Notamacropus eugenii: one gene and its partners. The protein of the gene in region 3 purifies or fractionates together with the protein of the main gene of each other region. This does not show direct contact. Links are inferred from orthologs where the notes say so. Each region holds a gene or a part of one and is shown on either strand. Other genes may lie near its edges. The genes, in order: WAPL, PDS5B, SMC1A and NIPBL.

Region 1 (7,998 bases), on a different chromosome or scaffold from region 3:
ACAAAGGAAGAGAGGTAAATATATGTACAGGGAACAGGTCAGCTGGGCTGGAGAGGTAGTGCCCAGAGGGAAATGAGATGAAACCGAAGTTGAAAAGTCATGTGTGACCAGAATGCAGGCCTGGAATGACAAGGCTGGGCATTTTCCTTCAGTAAAAAGAATTCCAGATCACTTGATTTTGTCAGAATTGAAGGGAAATTGATAGCTTTTTTAGGTGAGCAGAGGGAGATTTATAGGTTTTTAAAATGAAAAGATAAATCGTTTGTGATTGTGGGATTAATAAAAAAAAATAGCTTTTTAACATGTGAACTCTATTCCATGTTGTATGGCACCAGACTTTCACTTTTGTTCCCCAAAATAAGATCATGATGCCTTTGACCTCCTGCCTGTAAACTGAAGGCCTTGGGTTGGGTGACTTCTTAGGTGCCTTACAGCTCCAAGGGCATTGGATGGTGGAGCTTGGAGCACTGAATTGGGGAGTTCACAGGGACTTCAAAGGACCTGGCTTAGTTATTTCCTCCCTGTGCCTCAATTTCCTCATCTCTAAAGATGTTAAGAACCCTATGGGGTCTAAATCCCATGGTAATCCTATGCCAGACAAGGGACTTTAAACTTCCTTTGGAAGACAAGAGGGTCTGAGAAAAAGGTCTTACTAAGTGAGGGAATCTAACCAGATCTATTCATAAGGTAAGTCGGGAGCAGCAGGGAGGAGGAACTGAAGGAGGGCAAGTCTGCAGGAAGGCCTGGTAGCTATAGCAATTTTCCAGCAAGGCCTGCACAAAGGTGGTGGCAGAAGAAACAGGAAGATAGGAGGCCAGAGACGTTTCAGGGCTGACAGCCACAGGACTTGGGAAGTGATTGGCTAGAAAAGGAAACAGCACTCAAGGTGAAAGTTCCACTGGGCTTCCTCTGACTCAGTAGCCCAGCCTACTGAATATCCAGGCCTGGAAAGGCCCCAACTTTCAGGGTCTTTCTCTAACACTCCTAGAATCTCAGATGTAAGTATCCTTCTTTGTTAGATCGACTCCCCAACCACATTTTGTCTTTCCTCCACCTACACTTGAGACTAATGAGATAGTAATATACTCCTAAAAGAATGTCTTTGGGAGTTTATTCAAATTTTCATGAAAGGTAAGGTCACTGAGGTATGTTCTAGGGATCCCCACCTTCTGAAATGGGAAAGTAAGAAAAAATCCTCTCTATACCAAGAAAAAGAAATTCACCAAATAACATTTATTATGTACCGACATGCCAGGCACTGCACTAAAAAACCCCACAACACATATGAAGCCACCCAAAATGACCTCCTTCCCCCCCCCCCCCCCCCAGGAAATACTAAACTAAGAATAAGAACAACAAAAGCTTATCAGCTGCTTTCTTACTGATGTCTTTCTTACAGTTTCCAAAAGATTTCTTTATAATCTCATTTCTGGATTTTCTTAACTGAAAATACCAAATTGGGGTCTCCTGGTTTTCTGCTATGCATTTTTTATTGTAAAGCAAAGAGCTTTACAAATCTCTTTTTAAAAAAGGTCCCTTCTGATCCTGAGGCTTTTTTTTTTTAAAAGCCCTTAGCCCACAGGGCACATAGTAAGTATTTAAATGTTTGTTCCTTTGTACTTCTCTCAAGTAACTTTTAAGTTATTTTCCTTTAAAAAGTTCTTACAAATGAAAAATATATTTCTCCTGAACTTCAATTTGTAACCATCTGCTAGATTAAGGGAGGACGACATAAGCAGTACACCTCACAGCCATTATTATTTTCCTCAGGGATATTATCTGAAAGCTATAATCAAAGTGTAATTGTAAATTCACTTGGGACTTTCCTTCTCAAAAGTCTAGTTGGGGGCAGGAGGCACTAACGCTCCTCTGAAGACAGGAAAGGTGGTCTCCTGTAGTATCACATTTTCTAATACAATACAAATACTTTGGCTTGTTTCTAGCCTTATCATTAAGAAAAATTCAATTTCAACAAGTATTTATTGAGTCCTGATGGTGGTGTTTAAAGAGACTGTCCCTATTCTCCAAGTTGCTTAGAATAAATTCTCCTTGGAGAGACAGGCCCCAGACAGGAAAAATCATGGCCCTATTTGGTCCTGCATTTCCAGCTTCTGAAGTTTGTTCACTTGAAATGTAGATGGAAGTGTTTAGGGAAACAAAGAAAATGGAAATTAACCAAAGGAACCCAAAGGCTGCCACAGGGAGGACAGCCAGGTTGTAGTGGGTGTCTTTTGCTTGACCACAGGTCAGTGAAGAGGGCACAAAGGCTCTGGGCAAGTTTATTTTTGTTAAGAAAATCCCAGGACCTAAATGCAGTGTTCATGTTCTAAGTTACCTGGATGAGTGCAGAAATGTGACTGTTACATTTGGGTCGGAATGACAGTAGCTTACAGGAGAGCTCCATTCTCTATACAGAAGTGCTCATTTTAGTTGACATCATTAGTTCAGTATTTTAAAACCGGGAGAAAACAGACACCTGAAAGGGGTCTCGGGAGTGTTTTTGAACTCCAGGGCCTTCCCAACAGCCACTGGGCCTACCCCATAAAGAATTTACATAGTTTTGAATTTAGAGGGTTAACAGCAAGCTTTATATACCTTTGGTAAAAAATCTTGCAATTATCTCCTTGCTCCTTTTGACTTTTTGATCTTAGCTTTTGCTTCTGATGATAATTACCCCTTAATTAGCACCACCACTGTATCATCTAAGTAATTATAGTAAGTGGAGCCTGTACCCCAACAAGTAGTCTTCAAAGAAAATTATAAAATAAGGTCCCACATTGACTTTTTAGAGCAAAACTGGCTCAGATAAAACACTCCTGCAGAGCTATACCCTGAGGAATAGTTTGTATCTAACTTCTATTCAGGACATGCAATAGAGTTGGCTTTTAAAAAGGAAAAATAAAAAAGATACTGTACCCAGAAGTTTAAGGGTACAGGTCAAAAGTTCAGTTACAAGTTATCTATACTTACAATAATGCATCTGTGGTACTTGAATCATTCAACTGCTAAGTAGCATCAATGCCTTGAATAGGAACAGTTTTCTATGGACTCATAATATACTGGCTACATATTGTTTAAACTATTTCTTATGATTTTAGAAGAAAGTCACTTTAAGTACTTCATAAACATAGTCTATTTATAGCTTTAGGCATATGAATGGAAGGACTTAAGGAAAAATGGTAACTAATACCTTATTAATTTCCCAAGTAATTACCTAAAGCTCCATTAAAGCTCCCTCTTGCCCAAGAATAAGGTGACATATAGATGCAGAAGTCATGAATGTGGTTTTATTTTGGTATCTTTATTAAACTTTATGTGGGAAGAGAAATGATATAGTGATAATTAAAAAAAAAACCCATTACATTGTTAAAGTTGTTAGACGGAAAACGCAATCTCATATCATCCATCTCAATTCCCTTATGTCTCAAATGAGCAAACTGAGGCCCAGATCACTAAAACATGTAACTCAAGGTCACCCAGATAGCTACAGGCGAAGGCGGAATTAGAAACCAGGTCTCCTTATGCCCAGATGAGTGCAATTCCACAGTAAAGTACAAGTGGGTCAAATAAATTTAGTTTTCCATTGATGAGGTTTTTGAAGGTTTATACACAAAAAAAGTATCGAGCAAATAATCAATGTGTTTTCACAACGAGTTCCTAAGCATAGAGAATTGGGGGGGGGGAGAGGGGGCAGGAGGGAGAGGGAGAGGGGGGAAGAGAGAGAGAGAGAGGGAGAGGGAGAGGGAGAGGGAGAGACAGAGAGACAGAGACAGAGACAGAGAGAGAGAGAGAGAGAGAGAGAGAGAGAGAGAGAGAGAGAGAGAGAGAAAGAATAGAAAAGAAAACAGATCCAGTTACCTGATCCCCTACGGATCGGTGACATCAGTAGCTGGAAGCTGTCAATTTCCAGAATGACTCACTGGGAGCACTGAGAATTTTCTGATCCTTTAAAATGAAAAGGAAAAGGAAAAAGGTTCTTGGTTGCTTTCTTCCATATAGACTATTCGTAAATGTTTTCGTGCTATCTTCACCAGGCTGCATTTTGTGGCTCATTACGAGGGTCAAGTCAAAAGAGAGGCAGGGAGAGAGGGGCACAAACAGCAGAGACGCCGGGGGGGCGCGGTGGGTAGCCCCCAAGCTCGCTCCAGCACCATGGGCTCCACGAGCCTCTTTGGTAGCTCGGAAGAACCCGGACTGAATGTGCCAGCAGGTGGGCACATTTTGTTCCCCTACCTGACCGAGACCCGGGCCTGAAAGCCGGTGCATCCCAGTCGGAGTTCGCGGGCGCCGCCGGGTCCCCCGGCTGCGGCAGGTCCCTGCAGGGCGAGCCACCGACACCCAGGGCGTCCGCCACGGTCCCAGCCTCTGCACTCCCTCCCCCGGCCGGGAGCTTCCGAGGGCGCTGGGCCCACCCCCGTCCCCGCCTGGCCTCAACCGAGTCCCGGCCCTTCCTCCTACTCACTGCTTCCGAACACGGTGGCTCACCCCCGCCCCCGCCCAGGGAGTGTGGCCGGGAACTACACTTCCCGTCGGCCCTCGCGGCCGAGACCATGGCGGCCCCCGCGCGTGCGGCGCCACGCGCCTGCGCGACGGTTTGTCCGACCGGCGCTGCGATTGGCTGCGGCGGCCGGGGCCGCGCGGGGCCTGTGGGAAGCGCCGTGACGGAGCTGGCGGCTGGGGGAGGAAGGGGGGCGGCCAGCCGGGGAGCGCAAATGGCGTTGAGATGGTTCAGGGCCCTGCTCAAACTCCAGCCCTGACCACTTACCGGGCTAGGAGGCGGCGCAGGCGGGGGCGACGGCGGCGGCGACGGCGGCCCAGCGCGAGGAGCTAGTCATCGCCGGCGACGCGGACGGGGCGGCCTAGGCCCGGGCCGGCGGCGGCGGCAGCGGGGGAAGTTGCGGGGCAGCCGCCGCCGGCGCTCCCCCCCTTCCCCCTCTCCCGCTCCTCCCTTCCCTGCGGGCTCCTTTTGGCCCGGAGCAGACGCCGGCGGCGGCCGGGGCAGCGGCGGCGGCACTCTTCTTCTTCCCCTCCCCCCCCCCGGCCCCCTCTTCCTCGCGCGTCAACCGTCTCCCATCTCGAGCGCGCCAACCCTCCGGCCCCCCCTTCTAACCCCCCCTCGTCCCGCGCGCGCGGGGCCCCAGCGGCCGCCCGGCTTGCGCCGCCCGGGGGCCGCCGGGAAGGTGAGGCGGCGGCGGCGGCCGGAGCTCGGAGTCTCCACCCCGCTCGCTCGGCGCCCAGGGTAAGTGAGGTCCCGTGGCGGCCGCTAGGCCCCGCCCGAGACGGGGACCCGGGAGGGGGCTCGGGGCGCCCGGTGCGACGCGACCCGGAGGAAGTTGGGGGAACGGGCGGGCGAAGAGAAGTGTCTGGATTCTCGCCCGCCCTCCCCCCCACTCCCGGCCCTTTCCGAGAGGCCGCCAAGTCTGGGGCGCCTCCCTCCCTCCCCCCCCCCCCCCCCCAGCGCCTCTCGGTCAAGTGCACGGCGGCCGCCGGCAGCGCACCCGCTTCTGCCCCCGAGAACGGAGGGAGGGGGCACTGTTCTTCGGGCGCCGCCTCGGGGAGGGGACGATGGGAGAGAAGTGTGGAGGCCGGGACCCCCGGAGAAACCTGGGGGGGGCGGACGGGGCGGAGTGGGTATGGGAGGAAGAGCCCCCAGGCGCCGGGGTCACTGAGTGCCCCTTTCTCTCTGGCCCGGACAGGTTGTTGGGAGGAGCTGCCAATGTGTCTGAAGGCCCGAGTGAAAGGTTGAGACCCGCGCGCCTATGCACATGTACGTGAGATGGTGACTGGGAGTTGTCCGCCCACCCTCGGGGTGTCGGGGCGGCCCCGCAGCCTTCGGCGAGCTCTTCCAGCTTAGACCTGAAAAGGCTCCACTCGAGATGAGATTGTCCACGGGGTTCCTGCTTTTGGCAAACTCTCAGGTGTTAACTTTTTAGGTCATGGAGTAGGAAGGGACCTGAGAGGTTTAGTCCAATCCCCTCTTTTGAAAGAGGTGAAACTGAGACCCGCCGAGGTCAGCTGACTTGCTTAAAGCCACAGGAGTAGAAGTAGAAGATTCAAAGCCAAATCCAAGGAATTTCCAGTCCAACAGTCTTCCCCAGTGTGCCATGTTGAGAAATATCCCAAGTATCTACGTATCCTGCACTGAAGAAGTGCACAGTTTTATTTCCATTTTTCTATAGAAATGGCCAAGTTCTCTTGTTTATAGACAAATTGCTTAAATAAAACATTTTGGTTTTATAACGCCTAAGAAAGAAAAACACAAAATTTACCAATAAACTCTATAGCGCAAGGCGATACAGATATCTCCTGTTTCTACTCCCAAAGGTTATAGTAAACGTTAGGAATTTATCATTGGGTTTTATATCTCCTACGGAAAAAATTCCTGCTGAATACTCGAAAAGATCAGTTTGTCAGTGATTCCTAGTACATCCTAGGAAAAAAAAATTTGTGGAGTTCAGTGAAACATGGGGCAAATTCTGATACAAAAAACCATTGTTGTGATATTTCAAAATTAGGGAAAGCTTTTTGCGTGTAGCTTATAGCCCATTTCTTTCAAGCTTATTAATTACAGTACAGTGAAACTATGCCCCTCTAAGAGTCGATTATAATTATTGTTATATTAAAATTTCAGTGATTTCAGTAATGTGAATTTAAAAAAGTTTTCATCACAGTTAAGTGGAAGGGGATTATTAGTGAAAGAATACATGCATGTCATGTACAATATGAAAGAAAGATGAAGTCTTCTCTCCCCCCCTTTTGCTTTGTATATTTTCACCTTGGGTACACAGTGTTCCTCTCTGGTCCTTTCCTCTCTTCTCCCTCCTTCCCCCCAATTGAATGTAAGCTCCTTATGAGTAGAAACCTCTCCTAGTATTCCTTAGACTAGTTGACACATATATTGTTGCGTAGTATTAATCTTTTAGTTAATGTAATCTTATCTTTTTCTGGAGACTTTGCATAAAGATAGAGGTTTCTCCAAACATGTCTTTTCTTCTCTGTTGAGTACATATTTGTCTACTATAAATAAACCTGAATGAATCTGAATCCATGAAGTTTACAGATAAAAAAGTAAAAAGAAAATAAAGTTGTACATTTATAATATGGACCATGGAACTAATGTTAAGGAACTTGACTTGCGCTAGTTTATCAAATACAAAAGCAGTATCTTCAGTCAAACTAAGTTAACATGAGATCCAACATTTTTGAAATTAGCATAGAAGTGTACGTTAGATTCAGTGTGGTACCATATTTTCTTTTTTTGGTCTAAAAAGCAAAAGCTTAGGAATCTATAAATATAGTATGTATGACCTAACATTAACATGTCTGAAAGGTAAATACTACTGAATTACATTTTATTTATGCTTTTCTGTTTTGAAAAGATGAGTGTCTAAAGTTTAAGCTTTTTAATTATTACACTTAAGTAATGTATAAATGAGTACTGTACATTGACTGTTGGTTCAGTTTGGAGCTTTAATGAATTCTGTTATCGTAGGTGGTAAGGTAGTCAGTCATACTTGTTTGGCAACTTAATTTTACATGTGGTGTTTAAATTTTTGGTTACAATATTGGTTATGTTTTCTTGATTTTTCCACAGAGAATATGAAACAGGTGTCAAAATGACATCCAGATTTGGGAAAACATATAGCAGGAAAGGGGGAAATGGCAGCTCTAAATTTGATGAAGTATTTTCCAACAAACGGACCACCCTTAGTACAAAGTGGGGAGAGACTACCTTTATGGCCAAATTAGGCCAAAAGAGGCCTAATTTAAATCCAGATATCCCAGAAATTCCTAAGAAGCCTAAAGTGGAAGATGAAAATTCAGAAGATCCTTTTGGATTTGATAGTGATGAAGAATCTTTACCAGTTTCTTCAAAGAATGTGGCCCAGGCTAAGAGTTCCTCCCAGTTGGAGCCTGGTGAAGCTGCTCATCTGGGTGACTTCACCTCTGTACTTGAAGCTAACAGCTGTATTAGTCAACCAATCACGGAAGACATTA
Region 2 (7,745 bases), on a different chromosome or scaffold from region 3:
CTCTTGCAGCACTAAAATTTATAATCCTACAAAGCTATACCATGTTTATAAATATTCATACAGCTAGTACCAATCGCTGAAATTTGCTTATTTTCTAACAAGAGGAACATATTTTTTAAAAAAGCAAATAATTGTCTTCTCAATGCTATTTCCACAAATCAGATGATAGTCCTTCCCAAAAAATCACAACTCAAAAAATTCTAAAGACCCTTTGCATCAAATGAAAGCAGTGAACAATTCTGTTTTCTCAGTTTTAGACATAATTCCATCACATCACAGTTCTCAAGAGAGTAACTTGAGTAATGAAAGATATCACTTCCTCCTCAGACATAATAAATTGCTTGATAATTCCATAGTCTAAAAGGATTATTTTAAATCAATTCTACAGAATAATCTCAAAACACAAACCTACTTTTTTTTTCCAGGAGTCAACTCATAGTGGCAAATCATATTTTTAAACAAGCAAGCTTGATCACATGACTTCTCATGACAGCAAGTATCCTTAACCTCAACACCAACATTTCCTCTACTTATAAGAAAAATGAGAAAAAGAAGAAAGGGGTGTAAAAAAAAGGGGAGGAAGAAGAATCTGAATACTAGAATTAAAAGGATGAGCTAAGGAGATAACCACAATGGAGAAAGAACAAAATAAAGGCTGAAGACGAGAAAATTTTATTTTTTAAAAAAGAACATAATTCAGATCCACAAAGAAATGAAATAGTACAACAAAAAGTATAAAAGTTAAAAAAAAAGTTTAAATGTACATTTGGTATTTCTGCAGACATAAACATTTCTGAAATCACACACACACACACACATATATATACTTAAGTGTTCAAATGAGCATCTTATTAGTTCATTTTTTTAAATGAACTACTTATGTTTCTAAGATGTTTTCATTACTCATAGAATTCCTCAGAAAAAATTTAATTTTGAAATCCAGAAATCAAACCATTACAATTTAGAGTTTTAACTACTTGTTTCACAAGCAACACATTTTAAGTAAGTTCTGTGCTGATAACGAAAATAAGACTGAGCATGTTAACACGCTGACTAAATGACTAAAAGTAACATAAGTTAGAGGTTGAACTTGCCCTTGGACAACTCATATACCTGAGGGAAGGCTTATTGTCCTTAGTCATGTCAATCTCATGTGAAATGTGTACTGTAGGGTGCCAAGACCAAAATGTGTTCATGTAAACCTTAATTCTGATTTGTGTTGTATGCTATGTTAACTTTCTTATTTGGTAGATTACTTGGTTCAGATAGAAAATCCATTCAAACCTACATCTAGGTTTGTTAAACAAGCACGTTATTTAGAATGCCACTCAAAATTTAAATAGCAAAATTCAAAAAATTTTTATACTCTGTCTCTTCTAATAAACTATCAACAGATTTTTAAGGGTTACCTTTACTTGGGAAGAGAATATAGGATGTTATACAGCAAAAATATTCTTAAATGTAGAAAAGATCCATCACAGAGACCTCGGCATGCATTTCATAAACACTACGGCAAAGCAGAAAACACAGCCCACTAACATATTTCATGAAAAAGAGTAGAAATGAAATAAAACGAACCGACAAAAATAAAGGCACTTTCAGAGGGCTTCCCTTCAAAATATATTTTCTAATGTTAACTCCTGCTTAAGGGTTTGGATTACGCTCAAGTGCTATGCAGATATCCCTTTCTCCTGATTCAAACCCGCACTGAACTCACGGCATCTCGTTAAGTAATGCAGTACAGTGCGGTGCAGGTTTACACCTCATGGCTCAAATTCATACACTTAAATAACTATATTTAAAACAAGAAGTTTAATGCATGTCCCGAAGAATTAAAATACGAGGCATGCCCCGCAACCAGAAACTTTTTGAAGTGTGCACAAGGGAGACCAAAACCAGCCGCGGAGGTGCAACAATCTCTGATTATTCCGCAGTTCTGCCAGCGCTCATTCCGGTTCACACTGCAAGGCTCCCTGAGGCTCAGACCAAACCCAACTGTCACCAGGGTGCAGTAATTTAGAGTGAGCCCCAGTCCTCCTCCATTCGATCCCAGGCTGCCCCTCCCCACAGCCTCCCGGCGGCCGGTGAGATTTACCTCCGGTGACTGACAAGTTACAGTAGACAGCAAACGGACACATTGTATCCTTTTCTCCTCGCCCAGAGCAAAGGCTGAGACGACGTGGGGGCAAAGGGGAAACCCCGGGCTCGTGGGGCTCAGGGGGAGCCTGCGGGGGCGCCTGGAGAGGGGCCAAGCGAGGACGCTGCGGCCCCCCAGCTTTCGCAGCGCAGGCTCTTCCCTCCCCCTCCCACCCCACCCCCGGAAAGGAGAAAAAAAAAACCCGCCAGAGGATTCAACAGGAGAACCGCGCCGCCCGCCTGCGGTCCGCGAAACAGCCCGAGCCCGAGCCCAGGCCGGCGGCGGCCACCGGGGAGCGGGGGGAGGGGAGGCGCGGGAAGGGGGCGGCTGGAACCCCGGGCTGCCCCTCGGCCCCCGCCGCCAAGGTCACCCGGCCCCGCGGCCGCCCCGCCCGGAGGAAGGCGGCAAGTTTAATTTCTTAGAAGCCGTGGATCAAGCCAGCGGCGCGCGCACGCGTGTGCGCGTGTGTGTGCGCCGGAGTCGGTGCAGGGGGTCCGAGGGGGGTGCAGGAGGTCCTGGCCCCCGCTCCCTCCCCCGCCCGGAGAACGAGACACCTCCCGGCCAAGGGGCTGCTCAGCCCTCGAGTCCGAGGCGAGCCGAGCCGGAGGCAGGACGGCCGCGGCTACTGCAGGGCGGGCGGGCGGCGCTTCAGCCCCCGCCAAAGGCACACACACCGCCGGCCGCGGGAAAATGGAGCGCCCGGGCGGGCAAGAAGAGACCTTTCTCCCGTTAATTGAATTGTTTCCTACCTCCGGCTGCCGGGCTCGCTGCTCCTCTCACTCCGCCGCTCTCCGGGATCCGCCGCCGCCGCCGCCGCCGCCGCATCCAATCGCCTCCTCCTCCCCCCTCCCCTCCCCTTCCGCAGCTAGCCCGGCCGTTCCTCCTCCTCTCCGCTTCAAAATGGCGCCAAGCGTTCTCCGGCGGCAGCTCCAATCGAACCGCGGCGGAGAGCACCCAGGGGCAGGCGGAGCGCGGCGCGGGGGCGCAGCGCCCCCTGCCGACCGACCAGCAGACCAGCCAGACCGGGTGTCGCTCAACCGCCCGACCCGCCTCCCCGGCCAACCGCGCCCGCGCGCTCCGGGGTGCGCGCTCCAAGCACGCGCCCGCGCGCTCCGCGGTGCGCGCTCCAAGCACGCGCCCGCCCACACGGCAGCTGCCAATCAACCCGCAGCTTCGGTGTCTTTGGCGTCTCTTAGGAAAAGAAGCAGATAGCGAGCCGACCTCTGCGTTTTGGGAGCCGAAGATAAGAAACTAGAATGAGTTTTCTTCTGGAAAGGGAGATTTGGCAGTATTCCGTGGTCTGCTCGCTTTGCACTTAGACGGGAACTTTGATCCAATCTGAAGTACCTTCCAAAATTAGCAATTCTACACGGTGTATTTTCGCTTCTTTTTTTTGTTGTAGGTGGTGGTTTGTTTTACACGGTCCTCAACGCGCATTTCAGTCTAGAAAAAAATAAGCAAGGTGATCGTCCTCTTTATACCCTCTCCACCTTTTGTGTTATCTTCCTTCCCCTTTGGATTGAGAGCCCTTTGAGGACAGGGACGCAGAATGGGCGCTGCGTTAATGTTCATTGGATTGGACTCCGAACTTTGTTATATGGTTCTTCATAAGAGCCTTTATCGAGATTATCACAAAACTGCTGTTTCCTCTTCCGCACTTTTCTCTGTTTTTTTTTATATTGCTTATGGCCTCACTTTCTCTATGCCTTCTTACAAAAGTAAATCCCACTGCCCTTTCCATTCTGGTAATGGCCAATGTCACATGATAGACAGATAGATAGACAGACAGACAGATAGAAAGGTAGATAGGTAGATAGATAGATAGATAGATAGATAGATAGATAGATAGATAGATAGATAGATAGATAGATAATAGACAGATAGATAGATAATAGACAGATAGATAGATAATAGACAGATAGATAATAGATAGATAGATAGATAGATAATAGACAGATAGATAATAGATAGATAGATGATAGAAAGGTAGGTAGGTAGAAAGATAGATTAGATAGACAGACAGATAGGCAGACATATATGTATGTGTGTATGTATGCGTATATATCACGTGTGTATATATATTATACATAATACATATGAAGAGAATGCGTTATGATGACACTTTTTAGAAACTTTGTTTCAATAGAAATAGTACGGGACACGAATTCTCTCCACAGAAATCAGGCTCGGAGAGGCCACTAGATGGTGCAATCTAGTCAGTGCTGGACTTGGAATCAGAAAAAAAATCTATGTCTATTACTTCAGATTCTTAACCTCTCAAAGCCTCCGTTTCCTCAACTATAAAACAAAGATAAAAATAGTACCTCAACTTGCAGGGTTGTTGCGAGGATCAAAAGATATAATACGTGTAAAGTGCTTTGCATCCCTTAAAATGACATATGAATGCTATTACTATTACGACTGTTATCATTGTATGGGAAGCATTATTCTTGATTCCAGATAGAGAGGAGAGGTCCTCCCAGCTTTCCAGGACTTTTCTCACTTCCCTTGGAATGATTTCTCCCTTAGTCTTATCCTATCTAGGCGGTGCTGTCCCCCTTAGAAAGCAGGAACCCCAAGAATGTGATCAGGCTCTGGACTTACCAAAGTTACTTGAGTACCAATACATTCATCTGTCACCTCAGCCGCCACTGCCAACAACCCAGAGCTGATGAGATTTTTTTTTCCTGTATGAGTGCACTTTCAAAAGAGTTTTATTCCCAGAATAAAGGTATCACCAGCACCCAGCACAATTCCACACACATAATAGGCATTTAATAATTGCTTGTTGAATTGGATAAGAAAAGTCAAATTGCAATGTGTATAATATAAATATATAAATATATTTATAATATATATAAATTATAAATATATAAGTTCAGATTACCACATTTTGTAGGCTATACCAACACTTGATGAGGTTATGTTGCTATGCAAACTAATTTATCATAGTAGGATAAAACAACATAACATTCCGCTTTCACAAAACATTGTCATGACAGTGTGCTGAAACTAAAACTATAAATTACCATCTCCTCTGACTTCAGTGAACAATATATCTTCCTGAAGTTCCAAAATGTGAATTAAACATACTTTGCTATACAGTTATTTCAAGTGAAGAAAAGATCTGACTACTCCACAGTCCTTCAAACTTACATCATGTTTCCTCAAGCCCTAAAGTGATCTTAAGACCTTTCATAGTTTTCACAATATACAGTAAAATGCAAATCTCTGGCAAGTCAAGGTGGAGGGAAGTAAAAAGAGCTTAGCCCTAGTAGAATCTTGTGCAAAAAAAAAAAATAGAATTATTACTCAGAGAAAATTTTATTTTTCAGAACCATAAGGACCATTAAAAAACAAATGATCAACTAAAAAAGTAGAGAATTGAATTCAGAAACACTGAATATCTTGGAACATTGGCAACACTAAACTGAGTGCAAGGAATTTTTCTGGTAGACTTAGCCCTTCACAGCAATTCAAGGACCTAAAACTTTCCCAAAGGACTCGAGGCAAAACACCATCCACATCCAGAGAAACAACTATGGAATTGGAACACAGAATGAAGTAGAATATTTTCTCTTGTGTTATGTTTTGTTTTGTTTAGGTTTTTCTCATGATTTCTCCCATTCATTTTAATTCTTCTATGCAACATGACTAATATGAAAATGTGTTTAATAAGAATGTATGTGTAGAACCCATATAAGATTGCATGCTATCTTGGGAAGGGAGCAGGGTGGGCAGGGGAGAAATCTAAGACTTATGGAAGTGATTGTAGAAAACTGAGAACAAATAAATTAATAATTAAAAAAATTAAAAAATTATTAAACTCGCTACCTAGCATTAAAATGGTAGAGTCTAATGTTGTATGAAGTGCTGAGACCTAGAATTGTTATAGGGGCAACATCTCATTGAACTATATGACCAGAATCACCAAGTAATGATCACCAATACCAATGAACTCATTGACAGACAGTATCAAATGGATGAATAGAAATGAAAAATAGTATTCCAGAGCTGAAGTGACAGCACAAAAATAATAGCTGAAATATATGTTCTGCTTTAAGATTTACAAGAAGTTTTACATACATTATCTCATTTGCTTCTCCCAACAACCCCATGAGGTCAATAATGTAATGATTATTACTCCCAATTAACCATTAAAGAAATTGACCCAGAGAAATTAACTGATTTGCCAAGATTATATAATAAGCAGCAAAGTTATGATATGTTGTTTAAAATTGAAACATTCAAACTTTTCAGTGGTCTGTTCAGCGTTTAGGTCTAAAGTAATGGGCAAGCAGCATGATCTACCCTGTTAAATGTATCATTTAACACATATAAAAAGGACAAATAAACCCTCTAAATAACTCACTCAGTGGAGATGTATGGCCTGAACATCACAAATAGCATAAGTTTCTACAAACAGTGTCTACACTGTCAAATCAGAGAATTTGTGTGAGCAGGGTAAAAAAAACAGAGAGAACATGGTTAGTAGAATTATCTCCAGCCATGAAAGGCCACATGACAGCTACAATATGGAACGACCTATGTCTACCTCTCACCCATCTGGATCTTCAGGTTGTCTGAACTTTATACATAACACTTCTTGAAGTAGAAGCATAGGGGGGAAAGGATATGGCTTCCATTTATACAGAAGATTAGGCTTGTAGACCTAGCATTTCCCCCTAAAACACCCTAGGCCAGATCCCCTCTGTGACTGAGAAATCAGAGGAACTCTTTGCTCAAGTTTAGATCTGGCTATCATCCAGCTTTCTGATTCTCACTTTGGTCACAAGCTTTTGATTCTCCTTGCTCCCTCAGAGCCTGCTGAATTTTTGTTGCCAAATGGATTGCTAAGATAGATAGAATAACATGTTACTTCTGGCCCTTCCTGGGATCTATGTTTGACAACCTCTTCTTGGATTTCATCTACTCAGTACAAAACCTGCCTTCTGGCCTCTTGTTTCCCCAAAACTAAGATTATCTTGAAACTGACCTCCCCTCCCTACCTCCTGCAGACCCCCATAGCAACATCCCCTACAGTATCACTGCTAGGAAGTATCACCCAAGTAACCCTGTAACACTGGGTGACCCTCAAAATTCCTCAGTACTTGGAAGAAACCATCTCTAGAGATGGTTAACAACAAAATTATTTCTGGAAAGTCTGGAATTTTAACTGGTATCACTTGGAAATAGGTTATTTCCTGGCTGACAAAATAAACAGAACCTTGTACCAGGAATGTTGTTATTGTTGTGGGGTTTTTTATATCATATTTATGAAAATAGTATTAGTCACAAAAAAACTAAAGATGTAAGCAATAGCTAAAGTAGACTGTGAATAAATGCAACATTATAGAAACAGTAGAAAAATTAGAGGAATAAAAATATTCTATCTTGGCCAGGATCTGGGAGGAACAAGGGAACCCATGTAAGAAAAGATTGCACATATACTGGATTATAACTATGTTATCTGGCTTACTTATGTCTAAGGAAGACTGGCTACCCCTACTCAGAAGAAGCCATCTTTGTAGGTTATTCAGGGTAAGCCAAAGACTCCTCTCTCCCCAGAAATGCACCCCCTACCCAGTAGCTCCAGAGCTCCACTATT
Region 3 (7,842 bases):
GATCCTCTTGATGTCATTGATACGTGGGCCAAAGTTAGCCAGCTCACTCTCCAACTTGGACTTTTCCTGTAGATTGAGTGCAAGGTGCCGGGTCTTTGTCTGTTCCAGGTCACTCTGGGAGTATTTGAGCCTCATCTGCAAGCCATGAGCCTGAGACTGCACCTGCCTCAGCTCAGCCTCCTTCCGCTTGGCCTTCATCTGTTCCTTCAGCTCCTCTGTCAGACGTTCTTTCTTTTCCTTCAGTTTGTCAACTGCTTTCTCATCCCAGCGGCGGGCCTTGGCTTTGAGGTCACTTGCCCCTCCAGAGATGACACCGGACTTCTGGAAAAGTGTTCCATCTAGTGCCACCGTCTTGTGTCTCTGGTGGCCACCAAATGCAATGCGCCGGGCATCTTCAACATTATCACATACGAGAGCATTGCCACAGGCATACTGGAGGGCCTTCTTGATGTGTGGTGGTTCATAGCGAATCACATCAATCACCAGCTTGGCCCCCTTCAGTTCTCGAAGCTTCTCATCTGTTGGTTTCACTTCTAGGTAGTCAAGTGGTAAGAAGGTCTCAGGCTCTCCACGCTGTTCCTTTATGTACTGGATACAGTCCCGGCCAGTTTTCTCAGAATCCACAATGATGGCATCCATATTTTTGCCCAGCACCTTAGTCACAGCAATCTGATACTTCTTCTGTGTTGGCTGGCACAGATCAATGAGACGGCCATACACGGAACCAGGATAGAGGCGTTTGATGCTTTCCATTATCTCTGCCTTGCGTTGCTGCCGGCTACTTTCCTGTCGGTCTATGCGGGCATCACCAAGCTGCTCCATCACCTGATTCAGCTCTTTGTTGATTTCATCAATGCGCTGTTTGGCAAGTTTAACTTCCTCAGTGAGTTCCCCCTCTAGTTTTTTCTGTTCCTCCAGAGACTGCTTGCTGGTGGTGATGTATTCTTCCAGCTTCTCAATTCGCTTCTGATTCTCTTCAATTTCTCGAAGTTTCTGCTTGATCTTGGCCTCTGTCTCAACTTTCTTTCGCTCCTCTAAGTCCAGCCGGTCCTGGTCAGCCTTCTGGTCCCGGTTGAACTTCTCCAGCTCCTGGGCCAGGGTGGCAGCTCTCTTGCTTGCCTCCTCCTTCAGCCGGTGGTATTTTTTCACTTGGTTCTCCTCCAGAGTCAAGTCCCGACCCTGGCTCTGACTCTCTTCCTCCATGCGATCTTCAAACTCTTGCCTTGCCTTCTCCACTGACACCATTTCCTTTTCTAGTTCATCCATATCACCCTTTCTCTTCTTGTACTGTTTCTGGGCATTCTGCAGAGACTTTTTGGCAGCTTCCAGCTTTTTAATTTTGTGTGAAGTATTCTCCTTGGCCTTGATGTACTGGGGCCGCTTCTGATTAAGCTCTGAGTCTTTCTCCTTTATCTCCTTTTCAATCTGCTGCTGCTCACGCATCATTTTGCCTAGTTCTTTCTTTTTGTCTTTTAGTTCTTCTTCCACCTTGTCCATGCGCTTCTTCTCCTTGTCAATCTCCTTGTTCTTGGAAGTCAGTTCCTTATTTAGTTTCTCAATCTCCATCTCATTGTGATACAGTTTGAATAGCTGTAGCTGCACCTGCGCACGAACGACCTCATCTTTCAGCCTCTGGTAGCGGTCAGCCTCCTCTTTCTCTTGCTTGGCTTCTTTGCGCTCAGCCGCAATATTTTTCTTCCGGTGGTAATTGAACTGGGTATCTTCCTCAGCCTTGACCATCTCCTTCTTCCGCTTATCATACTCCTGGGCCAGTTCCCCAGAGCGGCTGATCTCTTCAAACAAGGCTGTCCGCTCCTTGGGGTTCTTCATGGCAATAGACTCCACAGCACCCTGGAACACGAGGAAGTTCCGAGCTTTGATGAGGATGCCCAGTTTCTCCAGCTCTTGGCTGTATTCAAGCAGCTGGACCACTTTGTTATTGATTTTGTACTCTGAAGAGCCCCCCACAATTATCCGGGCAAAGGTGCGGTCCTCACCGCTGTCCTCAGAATACACCATGCTGACCGCTGCACGGTTGGCGGCTGGCTTGCCCACGGGAGCCCCGTGGATCAGATCCCGCAAAGTCTTAACGCGCAAATTGCTGGTCTTCTCGCCCAGCACAAAACTGATAGCGTCCATAAGGTTTGACTTCCCTGAGCCATTAGGCCCGATAATGGCTGTGAACCTACGAAAGGGCCCGATGATCTGCTTGCCCTTGTATGACTTGAAATTCTCGATTTCGATCAGTTTTAGAAACCCCATGGCGATGCAATGCGGGGCTGCAGCACCGGAGAGCGCGGGGGCGGGGACAGGGAGGCAGGCCCGGGGCAATGGGGGGTCCGGGAACAAACACAAACAGCGGGATCCCGGGCTCTAGTCAAGTCTCGCGAGACGCGCCGTGCGCGGGATCGCGCGCGCTTCTGCGCATACGTGTGCGCGCGCTTGCAGGAAGAAAGGCGGGACTCCAGTTAAACCCCCCGATTCCAGTACTCGCCTGCCTCCTGCGTGCCCCCGACGAGCAGGGTGAAGCCAGTTCTCTCTGTATTTCTTGCTCTTAGTCGGCCTGGTGCGCTTGATATGCTCGTAATCCCAGGAAGTGCCGGGGGAAGACAACCCCGCCCGCTCCCAGCGTCCTCAGGACTTGCCCGCTTTCTGCGCCTGCGCAGATGAACCGATTGAAGCGGAAGGGACGACCCCTCCCCCTTTGTCGTCATCCAGCTCTCTTGCTCCCGCCTTGTGTACCTAATGCGCATGTGCACACTGGCGGGCCCGCGGAAGGGGTGGGAAGCCTGCAGTGGCTCTTAGCCCCACCTACGCCCTGGCTTCTCCCCTTGCTCTCCGCTTACCCGTCCAGTTTCTTCCCGCCGTGAGACTGACGGCTTTCTCTCTCTTTGGCGCGCTTTCTCCTTCCTCCCCTCTCCCGCCACTTTCCTCTGCCAACCAGAGACCTTTTTTTCTCCGTTTGCTCTCCGTCTCTGTTTTTACGTGTGTCTGTGTGTGTGTGTGTGTGTCTGTCTGTGTCTGTCTGCCTCTGCCTGAGCTTCATCGCCCCCCCCCCCCCCCCCCCCGGCCAACATCTCCTGTAAAGCGCGGGGTGGGGGTGGGGGTGTGCTGGGGGTGGGCTGGGGTCGGGGGCTGTAGGATTCCACTGCCCACCAGGCATTCATTCTGTCGGCGGATCTTTATTATTGGTGTGTTCACTCTGCCTCCAGCCTCTCTCTCCAAACCCCTCCTTTGTCCCGGGTCTGTCACAGTGATCCCCCAGGCTTGCTTATGGATTCTTTGAAATGTTTCTTTGGAATGCTGCCCTTCTGCAGATACATTGTTTCTCGAAAGGTGTAACAGAATGGATTCATTTTTACCAACTGTTAACGGGCGTAGTGGCCGCCAAGTTTTTAGTTTTGAAACCTATGATCGTGAGAGTCTGGAAGAAACCATCAAGATTCACTTAATGCTTCTGGAAATTATTTTCATTCTCTTCACTTTTCCATCTTTTGAATGTTTCCACTCTTTTTATCGCTTTGAAAAGAGTGTTCCATTACATGCTGCAGTATTTCCATTTTCTTCTTGGTTTATTCCCCTGAATTACTTAGGCAAAGAATAATTCACCAAAACAGGGGGATCCTTTATGTTTGCCCAGAGCCCGACTCCTTGACCTATTTACTCTAAGATTACTACAAAGAAAACATAATCATTTATTTGAAACAAACTTGCTTACCTCAGGAGCTCTAGAATAGAGAAGTACATGTGAATTGTTGGAACTGAATAAATTGTTGGCACTCGGTGGGATTTTTGTCTTTTTCCAACAAATATACCAGTGTGGAACCATACACAGAAGAAAGAAATAAATGGGAAGTGAGCCCTCAATTGAATATTATCATATTTGTCACTAACTTGTTCCAGTAATTACTCTGAACACAATTGCTGTTTTGTGAATTTGGAATAGTAGTTTTCAATTCAAATAGTATATTTTTTCTTAAAACCAAAAGTCATTGAAATAGACAATAATTAGTATAACTTTTGTTTTTTGCAAAGAGAAGCAAAATAGAACCTTTGCTTGAGGATAGGATCAGAAATCATAATTTCCCATTAATCTTGGACTATGGGTAAAATTTTATTTCATGAGGACCTCATTTGAATGTCATCAGAACTATCTATAACAGACAACTTTAGTATTCTATTTAAAATGCTTCTTGGAAAAAAATGAATTTGCTAATAAAATATTTACCTGGATTTTTGAGTTGTTATTGGAATATCAGTTTTTGCCAGCACATTTGTATACACACACACACATACTGTATATATATATATATATATATATATACATACACACATAAAAATATGATTATTAATGACATTTAATATTCTTGTCATACATTTAAATGTATATTTACCTGATGGATGTTATAACTCTTTGTGTACTATATGTGCTTGCTTATGTGCTTTTCTTCTTCTAGGAAATAATGTTATGCGAACTATCCATGGTGTTGGAGAGATGATGACCCAAATGGTCCTCAGTAGGGGATCTATCTTTCCAATGTCTGTCCCTGATGTACAGCCTAGCACCCATCCAATCAAGCAAGCAAGTACAACTGATAATGAGGACATCACTGTTATGGACACAAAATTAAAAATAATTGAAATTTTACAGGTAAAGAATTTGATAAAAACAACCTAGCAAATACCCCTCTCAACTTAGGTTGGTCTGATGATCATAGAGAATAAGAAAACCATTGTTAATTGTAAAACACTAAGAGCTATTCTCATTGCCATTTCCCCTTTCTTCCTCACATTTGCCCTAAACTTGCCACCTGTTACATGTAAGTTCATATAAAAAATGCTCATATATAGTTTATTTTATTTGTTGTGAATATGGTATGTCTCATAATGGCATTAACTTTTATTCAATATTATGTCAGTTCCTTTTTATTTAAGATATGACACACTTTATTATTATTATTATTTTTTAATTCAAGAGTTATTTGATGGCAAGGAAAGCCCATGACAACTCTAAGTCTATAATAATAATTTATGTCTGACAGCATTTGATTTTATTTATTGATGTAGATAATGTAAAACTGGGAGGGTAGCTAACACATCTGACCTCACTGGACATTATTCTCCCTCCTGCATTTTGCAATACAGCCAACTGGACTTTTATTTTTTTTCCCTTACACATGAAACTCTGTCTCCTGACTTCATGCCTTTATACTGGCTGGTCTGTACTCCCTTATTACTTCTGCTTCATAGAATCCCATTCTTCTTTAAGACACTGCTCAAACACCCTCTTTTGGGTGAAACCTATCCTGATTCCTCCAGTTGCTAGTACCCTCCCTCTCTGACTCTATTATATTTAACTACTTTGTATATATTTGCATTTATCAGTTTTAGATTTATACTGTATGAATAAGCATTTATTAAGAATTTACTATGTTTAAAGCATACAAATAGAAGGGTGGAGACAGTATCTCTTCTCAGGGTTTCTGTGTCTACTCACATTCTAATAGGGGGATGCATCACATATCTATCTGGTGCAAGTCAAATGAAAAGATTCCATGACCGTTAGGGGATAGCAGCAAAGCAGATAGTGAAGCATCTTCTTTAATAGTCATTTTCACTGATAAAATCACATTTGTTTTTAACTTTAAGCTCATGGACAGTGACTTTCTTTACTGAGTCTTCAATAGATGTTGCCTTTTGAGGAGGCAATGACTTTAACCCCTGAAGAAGCAGTTGCCAGGTTACATCTTTTCAGAAGTTGCTTTTTTGGGATGGTAACTGTTAGTTGGGGCTTGGGTGGCCCCCAGACCCTGACTCTGTTTGTATTTTTATATATATTTCCTGTATCCCTCATTGAAATGTAAGGTCTTTTAGAGAAAGGGTTGTTATTTTCTTTGTACTTGCATTTATACTTGTGACTAGAACAATGCCTGCCACATTACTTGATGGTTAACTGATAAATACTATTTCCTCAGATCAGGACATCTTGTGAGTAGTGTTTGATCCCTAACACAGGTTGAGAAACAGTTCTATCAGATAGGGCACAAACAGATAACATACAATTTCTTCTTGGTCTCCAGATAGTTCTTTGATTTCTAATTTATAGATCATAGATATAGAACTGGCATCTAGTCCAACTCCCTCATTTTACGTATGAGGAAACAGAGAGGTTGAGTGATTTGCTCATGCAAATATTAAGTAACAGAAGCAGCTGTATATCATTTAAACTTTGAAAGCAATCATTTATATATGAACCAATGGACAGCAATACCTTGCAGCCCCTCTGCCTTTGGTTAGTTTGTCTTTTTAAGGGGCATGCTTGTGTTCGAAGGCCTCTCACTGTGTTTCTCCTTAAGCCTTGTACCCATGGCACTGTTTTTTCTCTTTAAGTTGCTTTTGTTTGTGTTTTTCGTCTTGAGTGTGAGTCCTGCCTCTATCGTAATGTGTAATCTTGGACAGATCTTTTATTTTTTTTTCTGGTCCTCAGTTGCTTCAAATGTCTTTAAATGTCTTTTCCAGCTCTAAACTGATAATCATATTATCCTTAATAAATACTTGTTGATTGATGTCTACAGTCAATGGATCAGTTTAAAAATAGATCTTTTGCATAATACTAAAGTAGAAAAAATGAAAAAAAATCCTAGTTACATTCATCAAATCTTGTTCTTATCGGATACTTTTAATGCTATATTACATGTACCTGACAGCAAACTGCTCCATTTAGGCTATTAACATAGGTCCTGACTCCCAGGGTGAATCATAGATATATCTGGCATCAAAACTTGGGAGTACATACAGATCTTTTGTACCTGTTATAGCTGAAAGTCATGCCTTTTTTGTGCCTGAATGAGGGATTTGATTATCATCATAGTTCCTCAAGGAGAAATCTATGTTATTAGGTGACAATATGACATCATTACCACTTGAAGCAGAATAACTCAGTGTCTTCATCTGGAAAGTTTCACCAAACAGGTGTGCTTTGATACTACAGTGGAAGATAACTGGAAAGTCATACACTCCAGATATTCTTATTTCCCAGAAAATGCATTCAATTTTTATTGACTCCAGTCAGCATGCTATTTATAGTATTTGTGGCAATAAAGGCATTCAAAGTCTTAATATTAATGATGGACATTTACTGAATTGAACTATTAATATTTAAAAGTAAGCTCTCAAATTAGTTTATTTAGCATTCTGATACTTTATATTGTTGTTAGGCTTCAGAAGTGAACTAAATAAATGTGCATCATTAAATAGAATGATGAGTGATATAAAAAAGTTTATGAAAAACTATATTTTATTTTCAATCTGTGTCTTATAGTTTATTCTCAGCGTTAGACTAGACTATAGAATCTCTTATATGCTGTCCATCTACAAGAAAGAATTTGGAGACAACAGTGAAAATCCTGAAAACTCTACTACTACTTCCCCTGACACACCACTTTCATCTGGTAATGTTTTATGTAAACATTCTTCAAAATCTTTAATTTTTAGGATGGTACTTATAAAGTCCCTGACTTATTAAAAACAACAAAGAACACTAAGTGTGTAAAACTGAATCTGCTTTAAAAAAGATTATTTGCTTTGAGAACCAGAGCAAATCATTTAGTATCTTCATGTCTCAGTTTTCACATTGAAAAGGTAGGTGTAGGATATCCATCTGTCTCCTGGGGATATTGTGAGAAAGAACAAAAAAGAGGGGCCCACAAATAAAACTGCAAACTCTTTTACAAATCTAGAAAGCTACATAAATACAAAGAAGTGTCAGAAAATTGCTTTCTGCTTGTTGAACATATGGTAGTCATAGACAACTGGTAACAATTAAACAATTAATACAGTCCC
Region 4 (7,966 bases), on a different chromosome or scaffold from region 3:
TGCTCCCCTTTTAGGTAAAGCAAGTATGGCTATATCTGATAATTGCATTTATAACTAAGGGTATCAAGAAAAGCTTCCAACAGGAGATGGCAAAGGAATTGAGCTATGATGGGGATTTTAAAGCTTTTACTTTCTAGTTCTAAAAAGAGCAAATAAAATTGCACATTCTTTAATGAAATTCATATTTAATTTCCAACTTTAAGATGCCCCTTAACATATTTACCATATCACCAAAAATTCTCTTAACTTTTTTACTGTTACAAATTTTGCCAAGGCACAAAACCCAAAAATGTCATACCATACTAAGTAACTCAGATATTAAAAATTATTAACTGCTTAAGTTTTAACCCTAATTTGAAGTATTTCTTGATTCTAGAATCTGGTTTTATTATAAATTGATTAATATGACTACGCAATAGCCACAACAAAATAACAACAAAAAACCCCTCAACCTGCTATTAAATAAATTTGAGGTGTTTACTGTCAGGTGAAACTTTTCTCAAGTTTGCCCCTTTCCCAATATATCACTGAGCTACCTTTCTCTCAGAGGATCTTAAAAAATCTGGAGAGCATAGCCTTGTCTTTGTTTACATCTAAATACTTCTGCAGTTAAATGATTTGTTGGAGGCTAGTTTTCTAACAGATGGGGGCTGGGGGAAGAGGAATGAACTGTATACTGAGGAGCTCTGAGGGAATTGCTTTCAAATTTGGGGGGAAAAAATCTGAGAAAGAGAAATTTAATCATTCACTTGATATGAAAACAAAGTTTTTTCCTCAGTATTTCAGGGACAAGCTAACAACTAATCCGTGATTCTGCTTATAACTCAGGAATCACACACAGAAAACCAACATGAAAGAAGACTGCTTTTTCAACTCTTTCTAACCCCCGAGCACACTTCTCTGAAGCGCCGTGAAACAAACAGCAGGGCTGGTGCGTCGCTCTCTGATGATGAAAACCAACCCAGCACAACCACTTTTCCTCCAGTCCTCTGCTGTGAACTGGGCACGTCTCAGACCCCCAAGCGAAACAGCTGTTCAGTTCAAGTCATAAAGCCAGCCCGAGGATTTCTGCGGTAAGCGCTTTGGGGGGGTGCGTGTGTGTGCGTGTGTGCGCGTGTGTCTGTGTTCAAGAGCTGCTTTCTCAGAATGGGCAGCGCTGCTCCCTCCCTCCCTCCCTCCCCTGCTCCTCCCCCGCCCCCTCCCCCGCCCCCTCCCCCGCCCCCACCCCCACCCCCAGCAGGCCTGAGGCCCTGTTGCAAACAGTGTCGAACAGGAGCAGGCAGCACAAAGACAGGAATGGGAGATTAGTGGGAGGGAGGGAGGCCGGGATTGGGGCTCAGCAGGAGCTTCAGGCTTTTTAAAATTCAAACTGCTCCCTGACCAATACAAATCACGGACACGCTACTGACTACTACACGGATTTATGGCATTAAAAACATGCCTGGGACGTGACAGCTATATTAACTTGACCCTTTTTAACATTGATCCGAACGTTGGCAGACACTATGGTAGAGTTCGACGCAAGCCAGACCCTAAACTCCAGAATAATCCCCAGGAAAGTTACTTATTGGACAGTGACGATGGAAATTTAATAAAGCTGCAAGAAAAAAATCTTTTTGGGCCAGTGTGACATCAGTGAACAAACTTAAGAGAAGTGCTGAGCAACGTTGCTCCTTAAAGACTTGAACATTCAAAAACAAACAGACACGACACAAAAGTACCCGAACAGCCTTGCCCAGGTAAGCCCTGCTCTCCATGCCACTTCCACGAGTCAAGTTTCTTTAATTTACTTCACAAACTTGCCTTTCCAGTTCCATCATACACCACCACCTAGCCATCCCCTGCACAGAACCTCCAGTTGGTTCAGAACGGCTCCTCTCCTCGAGCCACTTCGGACCCCTCCGACCCACTACGGTGACACCTCTCATTACCCAGGCAAACATCATGGGCACACACAGCCAATGACAGTCCCGAGACCTCCAAAAGATCTCCCCTGACACCAGAGGGACGGGACACCCAGGGGGACGCCTGTCCTTCCGAGCGCTTCTCCTCCGTCCCCCCTCTCCCACCGCCCCGCTCCCAGGCACAGCGGGGCCCCTCCGAGGCTCCCTCCGAGCCCCAGGGCCGGGGTGTACCTGTCAACAACTTCCCCCGCCTCCGAGAGCCGCGTTCGGCTCCTCACGGAGCGCACTACTGTTTATGTCACTCGGGTTTCCGTCTCCCAGCCGTGAGCGAGGACCGAATGCCTTTAAAAGGGGAAACGAGTCTCGGTTAACTTTTGCACGCCCAAACAAGTTTGAAAAAAGGCCAACGCCGCGTCCCGGGCTCGTTCCTGGGCATTTCACATCTGCCTCGCTCTAACTGAAACTACTTCCTCCCGGCCCAGGGTCACTGGGGGAAGGAGGGGGTTGTTTGTCTCGCGGAGACCTTTCCCACCGCTCGCCCCGGGAAAGTTGTAAATATAGAGCGGATCGGGGCGCCCTGGCCGCTCCGGGTATTGTTTCCGCCTCCTCGTCTTCCTACCGCTTCTCCCTCGGCTGAGGCCTGTCACTGAGAAGCGATCGCTCCGCTCTGACCGGAGCCTCTCCTAATCCCCGAGCTCAAGTAGATTCCGCTGGCCCGCGGCCTGCGCTCTCCGCCGGGCCTACGCCTCCCCGGCCGCCCGGCAGGAACCGAATCTCCTCCGCAAAAGTCGGCGGGGAAAGACCTCCAACCGCCGCCGGCCGAGGCGCCTGCTCCCGGGGCGGACAACTCCGCGCTGGCTCCGCCGAGGAGACCCGGGGCTGCCGGGGACGGGAGCGGGAGGGGGAGGAGAGGAGCCCGGGTCCTGGCCCCGCCGCCGCCGCGGCCGCCGAAAGAAAGGGAAGGAAGGAATTTACCTGGGCGAATCGGCGTCTGAATCGGTGCGGAGGCCGAGGCCGAGGCGGCTGTGGGGAGCCTATAATCCGGGCCGGGAGGGGGGGCGGCTGAGGCTCCTCTTCCGTCTCCTCCTCAGTGCAGTGAACATGTAGAGCCAGGGGGAGACCAGCCGAGAAGACAAATCGCTGCTTCTTCTTCCTCCTCCTCCTCCTTCTCCCACATAGAAACACTTACAAACACCCGACCGGGGCCCCAGCTACCGAGGGGGCATCGCAGCCGGCTCGGGAACCAATCCTCCTCTCGGCGGGGGCGTCCCTGCCTGCGGCTCGGCGGTGTCGGGCGAGTCGGTACCGAAGGAGGGAGGGGGGGGAGGGCGGGGGGGGGAAGGAGCCCTGTGTGTGTGTGTGTGTCTCTCGCTCGGTCTCTCCCTCTCAGAACAAAATGCCGACCGGAAGTGCAGCTGCAGGAATGACTCCCTCCACCGGCGCCAAACACCAACAACCTCCCCCTCTCCCCCACTCCACTTCCGCCACCGCCGCCGCCCGCCCGCCAGCCCGCTGCCGCCGCCGCCGCCGCTACTACTACTACTCCAGTGCCCCCGGCCGCCGCCAGTCTCCCTCGTCGCCGCTCGCGCCGCCGCCGCCGACAGCCGGGGCCGACAGCCGGGGCCGACAGCCGGGGCCTGCGCCGCTGGAGCCTGGGCCGGCGGCCTCGGCGGCGGCGGCCGCGCCGACCGCTCCTCCTCCTCTCTCAGCAGCCTCTGCCTCGCTCCCTCCTCTTCCTTCTCCTCCTTCTCCCGCCGTCGCCGCCGCCGCCGCTGCTCCTGCTGCCGCTGCCCTGGGTGGGTGTGGATTCTGCCCTCTATCGTAGCTGTGGCCCAGGACCGGGCCGGTTACTGCCGCCCTCCTTCTGGTCCTTCTTTTCCTAGGGGAAAATGGGAAGACCTCAGCTTCGGGCGTCGTCGGGCTTTCAGCGGAGGAGACCCTCGGAAGGTTTTGGGGTGGCTTCCCTCCCCATCCCCCACCCCTCCCCGCTCTCTCACGCACACACACACACACACTCACACTCACACTCACACACACACACACACTTTTCCCAGGAGGGGGCTTCAAGGCCCCGGACACTGAAGGCTGAAGAGAAGAGGACGGGTCCTCCCCGGGGTTAGGGGTCGCCGCTCGGGGGGGCCACGTTTCGGACCCCCGCGATTCCATTGGACTCTCGGGGTGACCTCGCGACCTGGTGGATGTGCGGCTCTTTCCCGCTGACCGAGCTGCACGCATCCGTGTGCACACCTGCACACCCGCACACGGCCTAGCCCGGAGCGAGGACGCTCCCGCGTGGATTCGAACGCCCTCCTTGGCTTTGTCGCCTCTCCCGTGGTCCGCCGTCGAGAGGCCGGGGCTTGGCTTGGTTTCCCTCCTGGGGAGATGGGCTTGTGGGCAGCGCTGTGCCGGGGAAGTCAGGGCACGTTCCGATGCCAGGCTCTCCTTTTCTCCTGCTGGACCTAGCTGGACCAGTTAGCTCCATGTGCTTGCAGGTATTTGGCGGCCCCGTGTGTACCCCCCGCTCAGGGCTAGATGGAGCTGTGGCGCCCCGGGGGTGAGGGGCTGCTCGGGGCCGGCCTCGCCACGGTCTGCGGGGTGATGGGTGGGGGGCGCCGCGGGTCTGGAGCTCCCCCGACCCGTCCTAGACCCGAGGGCTGACCTGGCTGGTGAGCTCAGGCTGTCCTTGTTCCCAGCTCTTTAGCAGCCCCCTTCCCTTCCCTTCCCTTCCCTTCCCTTCCCTTCCCTTCCCTTCCCTTCCCTTCCCTTCCCCTCCCTTCCCTCCCCTCCGCGGCCCTTCCTCCCCTCTCCTCCCGCTTCCCTCAGAGATACTTGTTACAGGCTGCTCACTTTATTTGTTCGGAGGAAGCAGGACAGCTGTTGAAGGATTAATTTAAAGTTGGGCTCAATTTTAGCTGAGTTTAGACCTTGACGTGTTTTATTCCATTTTAATAAATTTGGTAAAATTATAAACAGGTTCCATTATTTGATTTAAATAGTAATATCTGTAATATTTTGTTAAAAGTGAATGGCGTTCTTAACAAATCAGTTACCAGGTGAATTAGAAATGCAGTCCGAGAACCCCGAGACTGAGTTGGTCTCTCTTAGACAATGCTCCTATTCAATATTCATTCAATATTCACCGGAGAGAGCTTTATGGAGAAGTTCTGAAAAGGACGGAAAATCTAGGAAGAAAAGCTCTTTAAGTCCTGCATCAAGATACCAGACGAACCGAAGACACTCACCAGAAACAAGTTAAGACGAGTTTGTGGTGACGACTTGTGCTTGAGGGCCCTATGGAGGACGGTTCGTGAGCTCGGGCAGTTCTATCGCTTGTCTTAGGGGAAGCTTTTCTCTTCCTTAATGACAGACTCCTTGCCTCATTTTGACTAGTCACCAGAGTAACCTAAAGAAGATGTCTATTCTAGAGAAGTCACAATTGTTCACTGTACTGGGGGGTGGGAGGGAATTAAAAAGACCTACTGATAATCTTAAAGGGGCTGTGTATGCCTAATCTTGGTCCACATCTAAGAAAAGCTTACTATTCTCTTATTCTCTAGGACAATTAAAATGCTAATCCACTTTACTTTTACTATTTAATTCTGGGGAAAAAATAGTGAAAGCTGAAGCCTGAATTAATCTGAAGATTTATACAACTTTTTAGTTCACTTTTTTCAGGGCTATTTAAATCACCTCTTTAGGGCTATTTGATCACCTCTAATAAACTTAGGTGCGTCATTTAAATTAATAACAATGACTTGAAAGGTATTAGAGATAGAAATGAAATTAAAATACCTGTTTTCTAGTTGCTTGTACAAAGCTGCTTAAAAATACCTGCACCTAAACCTCAAGCTGTTTAATTTATAGTGTATATATGCCAAATAATTAATATCCATAAATTATATTTTCTGCATAAGGTTCATGACATAAAAAAGATTATAACCTCACAAATAAGATAAAATGGTTTACAGATATTCTTCCAATTAAGGTCTTACCTACTAGTCTTATACAAGTTTTAAGTCACATGCAAACATCATATATTTTCACTTAATTTCAGAATGCCATCATTTAAGTCTGCTTTGGAGGATCATTATGCTGCTTCTATATCCTCTCCTGAATTTTAGCAAGTAAACTAGTAATTCAACATATTTGGGTAATTTAAGTTATACAGTCCTTTGCTTATGATATATAAAATGCCAACTTAGGTCTTCACATTAGAGTACTCAAATGGATCTTTACTCTCATTGATATATGTGCCTTCCAACTACTATAGATTGCAACCCAGTCCAAACCTGTCCATCCTATGTGACTCTTGCATGTCCTACTCTAAGTTCACCACAGGGGGTCCACTTAACACCCTGGAGGGCCTTTGGTGAGGATAAGATTGAACCACAACTTGTCTATCAGTCATTTCTCCCTCTTGCCACATGAACAGCCCATCTTTTCAATGATCAATGATAATATCTTTAACATTGCTTGTCTATAACTCTAGTTTGTTATGCAACTTGCTCACAGTTAACACGTACCTCTCCATTGCCCTTTATTTATCCTCCATTTCACTTCTTTAGTATGCTCTGATTTGTAGCCATACAAATGTTGGAAGAATGAGGATATTTTTTAAAAAACTGGCCTTTTGTTTTGGGGAAAATCTTGAGGTCATCAAAATAATTTTTCAGTTTCAAAGGCCATCGTGCCCACTCTTCTGTTCACAGTTCTGTGCCCATTTGCAGGATCTGCCCTATCTATCTCGGTCACTACAAAAGCACCATGGGCTGTCCATTAAACTTCATATCATGGTCTGGGCAATACACATTACTTATTACATTATAGTATGGTATAAAATTGAAAAATACTTATTAATATTTTCACTTCATGGCGTATATAGCATAGGAATAATGTATCCCTAACTTTATAGTTAGTGGGTACTGGTATTAAATGTTTTCAATCATTGTATTGCCAAAATGTTAAATTGTATCATGAATCAGAGATTCAGAGTTAGAAGGGTCCTCAGAGGCCATCTAGTCCAAATTATGTCAGACTTAATCTAAAACGTTCCTGGCAAATGGTCAGTCAGCCTTCATTTGAAGGCTCCTGTGATGTAAACTGCCTTGAAAAGCAGGAAGTTACCTTCTAGTTTTAGACCGTTCTGTTACTTATGTACTCAAACACTAGGTTCCTACTATATGATAGAAGCTGGGGCAGTTAGAAATTTTACATAGGACATAGTCCCAGTCAGAAATTTCACATAGATCCAGTCATTAGGAAGCTTACCCTGCTTTTCCACCCTCCCCACCCCAAAGTATAATTCTTAAAAGAGAGACCATGGATTTGAGATTAAATCCTAATGTTTATGATACTGATTAGAAATTACTATAATTTACAAAAATTAAATGTAAGTGGCAAGCATTAGGTACTATCACTATTTCACCTGAATACACAGTAATGTGTTTTTTTCTTTCCCAATTGTGTTCATTTTTAAGTAGAGATATTTACTCTTATTGTGTGGTTTTGAATTTGGTTATTCTATTTACATCCACTTTGTGTCAGATACTTGAGTATGTTTTCTAGAATACTATTGCAGAATCATAGAAATCTTTAAAATGCAGACCAGAAATTCTTCCTCTAGTACACCACCTAGTGTTTTAATAGTTTATATGTAAATATCCAAACTAGGGTTCTACAAGGAAACTACTTCATGACCCAAGAATTTCAGTGTCGGTGTTTTGTTGATATCTGACCAAAAGTTATCTGGAGAAGGCAGAAGAAAAGGGAAGCAGAGGTACTCTTTTTAACAGTATTCCCTCCTTGCTTTATATCAGTAAGATAATGTATCAAATAACATGAAAATACATGAATGTGCTCTGCAAATTACAAATATCATACAACAATGCAGAATGATGATGATTTAAGTTAAATAATATACAGCCATCTCAGCTGGCCCCTTATCAGAAACATAGAAGATACAGTGGAGTATGAAGGTCTGAAGACCTAGTTTTGAGTCCTAACTCACCCACTAATTCACTTTGTGAGATTAGGCAAATTACTTAACCTCCCTCCCTGAGACA

The links.
Region 1: the proteins of SMC1A (region 3) and WAPL purify together in Homo sapiens (affinity purification with mass spectrometry; 7 studies listed by BioGRID and IntAct, with this or other methods). This does not show direct contact. The link is inferred for Notamacropus eugenii from reciprocal best matches to the Homo sapiens genes SMC1A and WAPL.
Region 2: the proteins of SMC1A (region 3) and PDS5B purify together in Homo sapiens (affinity purification with western blotting; 8 studies listed by BioGRID and IntAct, with this or other methods). This does not show direct contact. The link is inferred for Notamacropus eugenii from reciprocal best matches to the Homo sapiens genes SMC1A and PDS5B.
Region 4: the proteins of SMC1A (region 3) and NIPBL purify together in Homo sapiens (affinity purification with mass spectrometry; 3 studies listed by BioGRID and IntAct, with this or other methods). This does not show direct contact. The link is inferred for Notamacropus eugenii from reciprocal best matches to the Homo sapiens genes SMC1A and NIPBL.

The regions. Positions count from the first base shown.
Region 1 is NC_092872.1:253,010,658-253,018,655, reverse strand, and holds the start of WAPL (wings apart-like protein homolog), read left to right. Parts: upstream 1-4,989; 5' UTR 4,990-5,239; intron 5,240-5,696; 5' UTR 5,697-5,759; coding exon 5,760-5,767; intron 5,768-5,797; exon of another isoform or gene 5,798-5,918; intron 5,919-7,594; coding exon 7,595-7,998. UniProt on the Homo sapiens protein: Regulator of sister chromatid cohesion in mitosis which negatively regulates cohesin association with chromatin. Involved in both sister chromatid cohesion during interphase and sister-chromatid resolution during early stages of mitosis.
Region 2 is NC_092876.1:201,641,855-201,649,599, reverse strand, and holds the start of PDS5B (sister chromatid cohesion protein PDS5 homolog B), read right to left. Parts: upstream 3,014-7,745; 5' UTR 2,887-3,013; intron 2,115-2,886; exon of another isoform or gene 2,096-2,114; intron 1-2,095. UniProt on the Homo sapiens protein: Regulator of sister chromatid cohesion in mitosis which may stabilize cohesin complex association with chromatin. May couple sister chromatid cohesion during mitosis to DNA replication.
Region 3 is NC_092874.1:178,917,634-178,925,475, forward strand, and holds the start of SMC1A (structural maintenance of chromosomes protein 1A), read right to left. Parts: upstream 3,009-7,842; 5' UTR 2,263-3,008; coding exon 1-2,262. Other genes in the region: inositol 1,4,5-trisphosphate-gated calcium channel ITPR2, read left to right, coding at 4,458-4,651, 7,322-7,451. UniProt on the Homo sapiens protein: Involved in chromosome cohesion during cell cycle and in DNA repair. Central component of cohesin complex. The cohesin complex is required for the cohesion of sister chromatids after DNA replication.
Region 4 is NC_092875.1:423,986,773-423,994,738, forward strand, and holds the start of NIPBL (nipped-B-like protein), read right to left. Parts: upstream 3,013-7,966; 5' UTR 2,880-3,012; intron 2,247-2,879; exon of another isoform or gene 2,136-2,246; intron 1-2,135. UniProt on the Homo sapiens protein: Plays an important role in the loading of the cohesin complex on to DNA. Forms a heterodimeric complex (also known as cohesin loading complex) with MAU2/SCC4 which mediates the loading of the cohesin complex onto chromatin.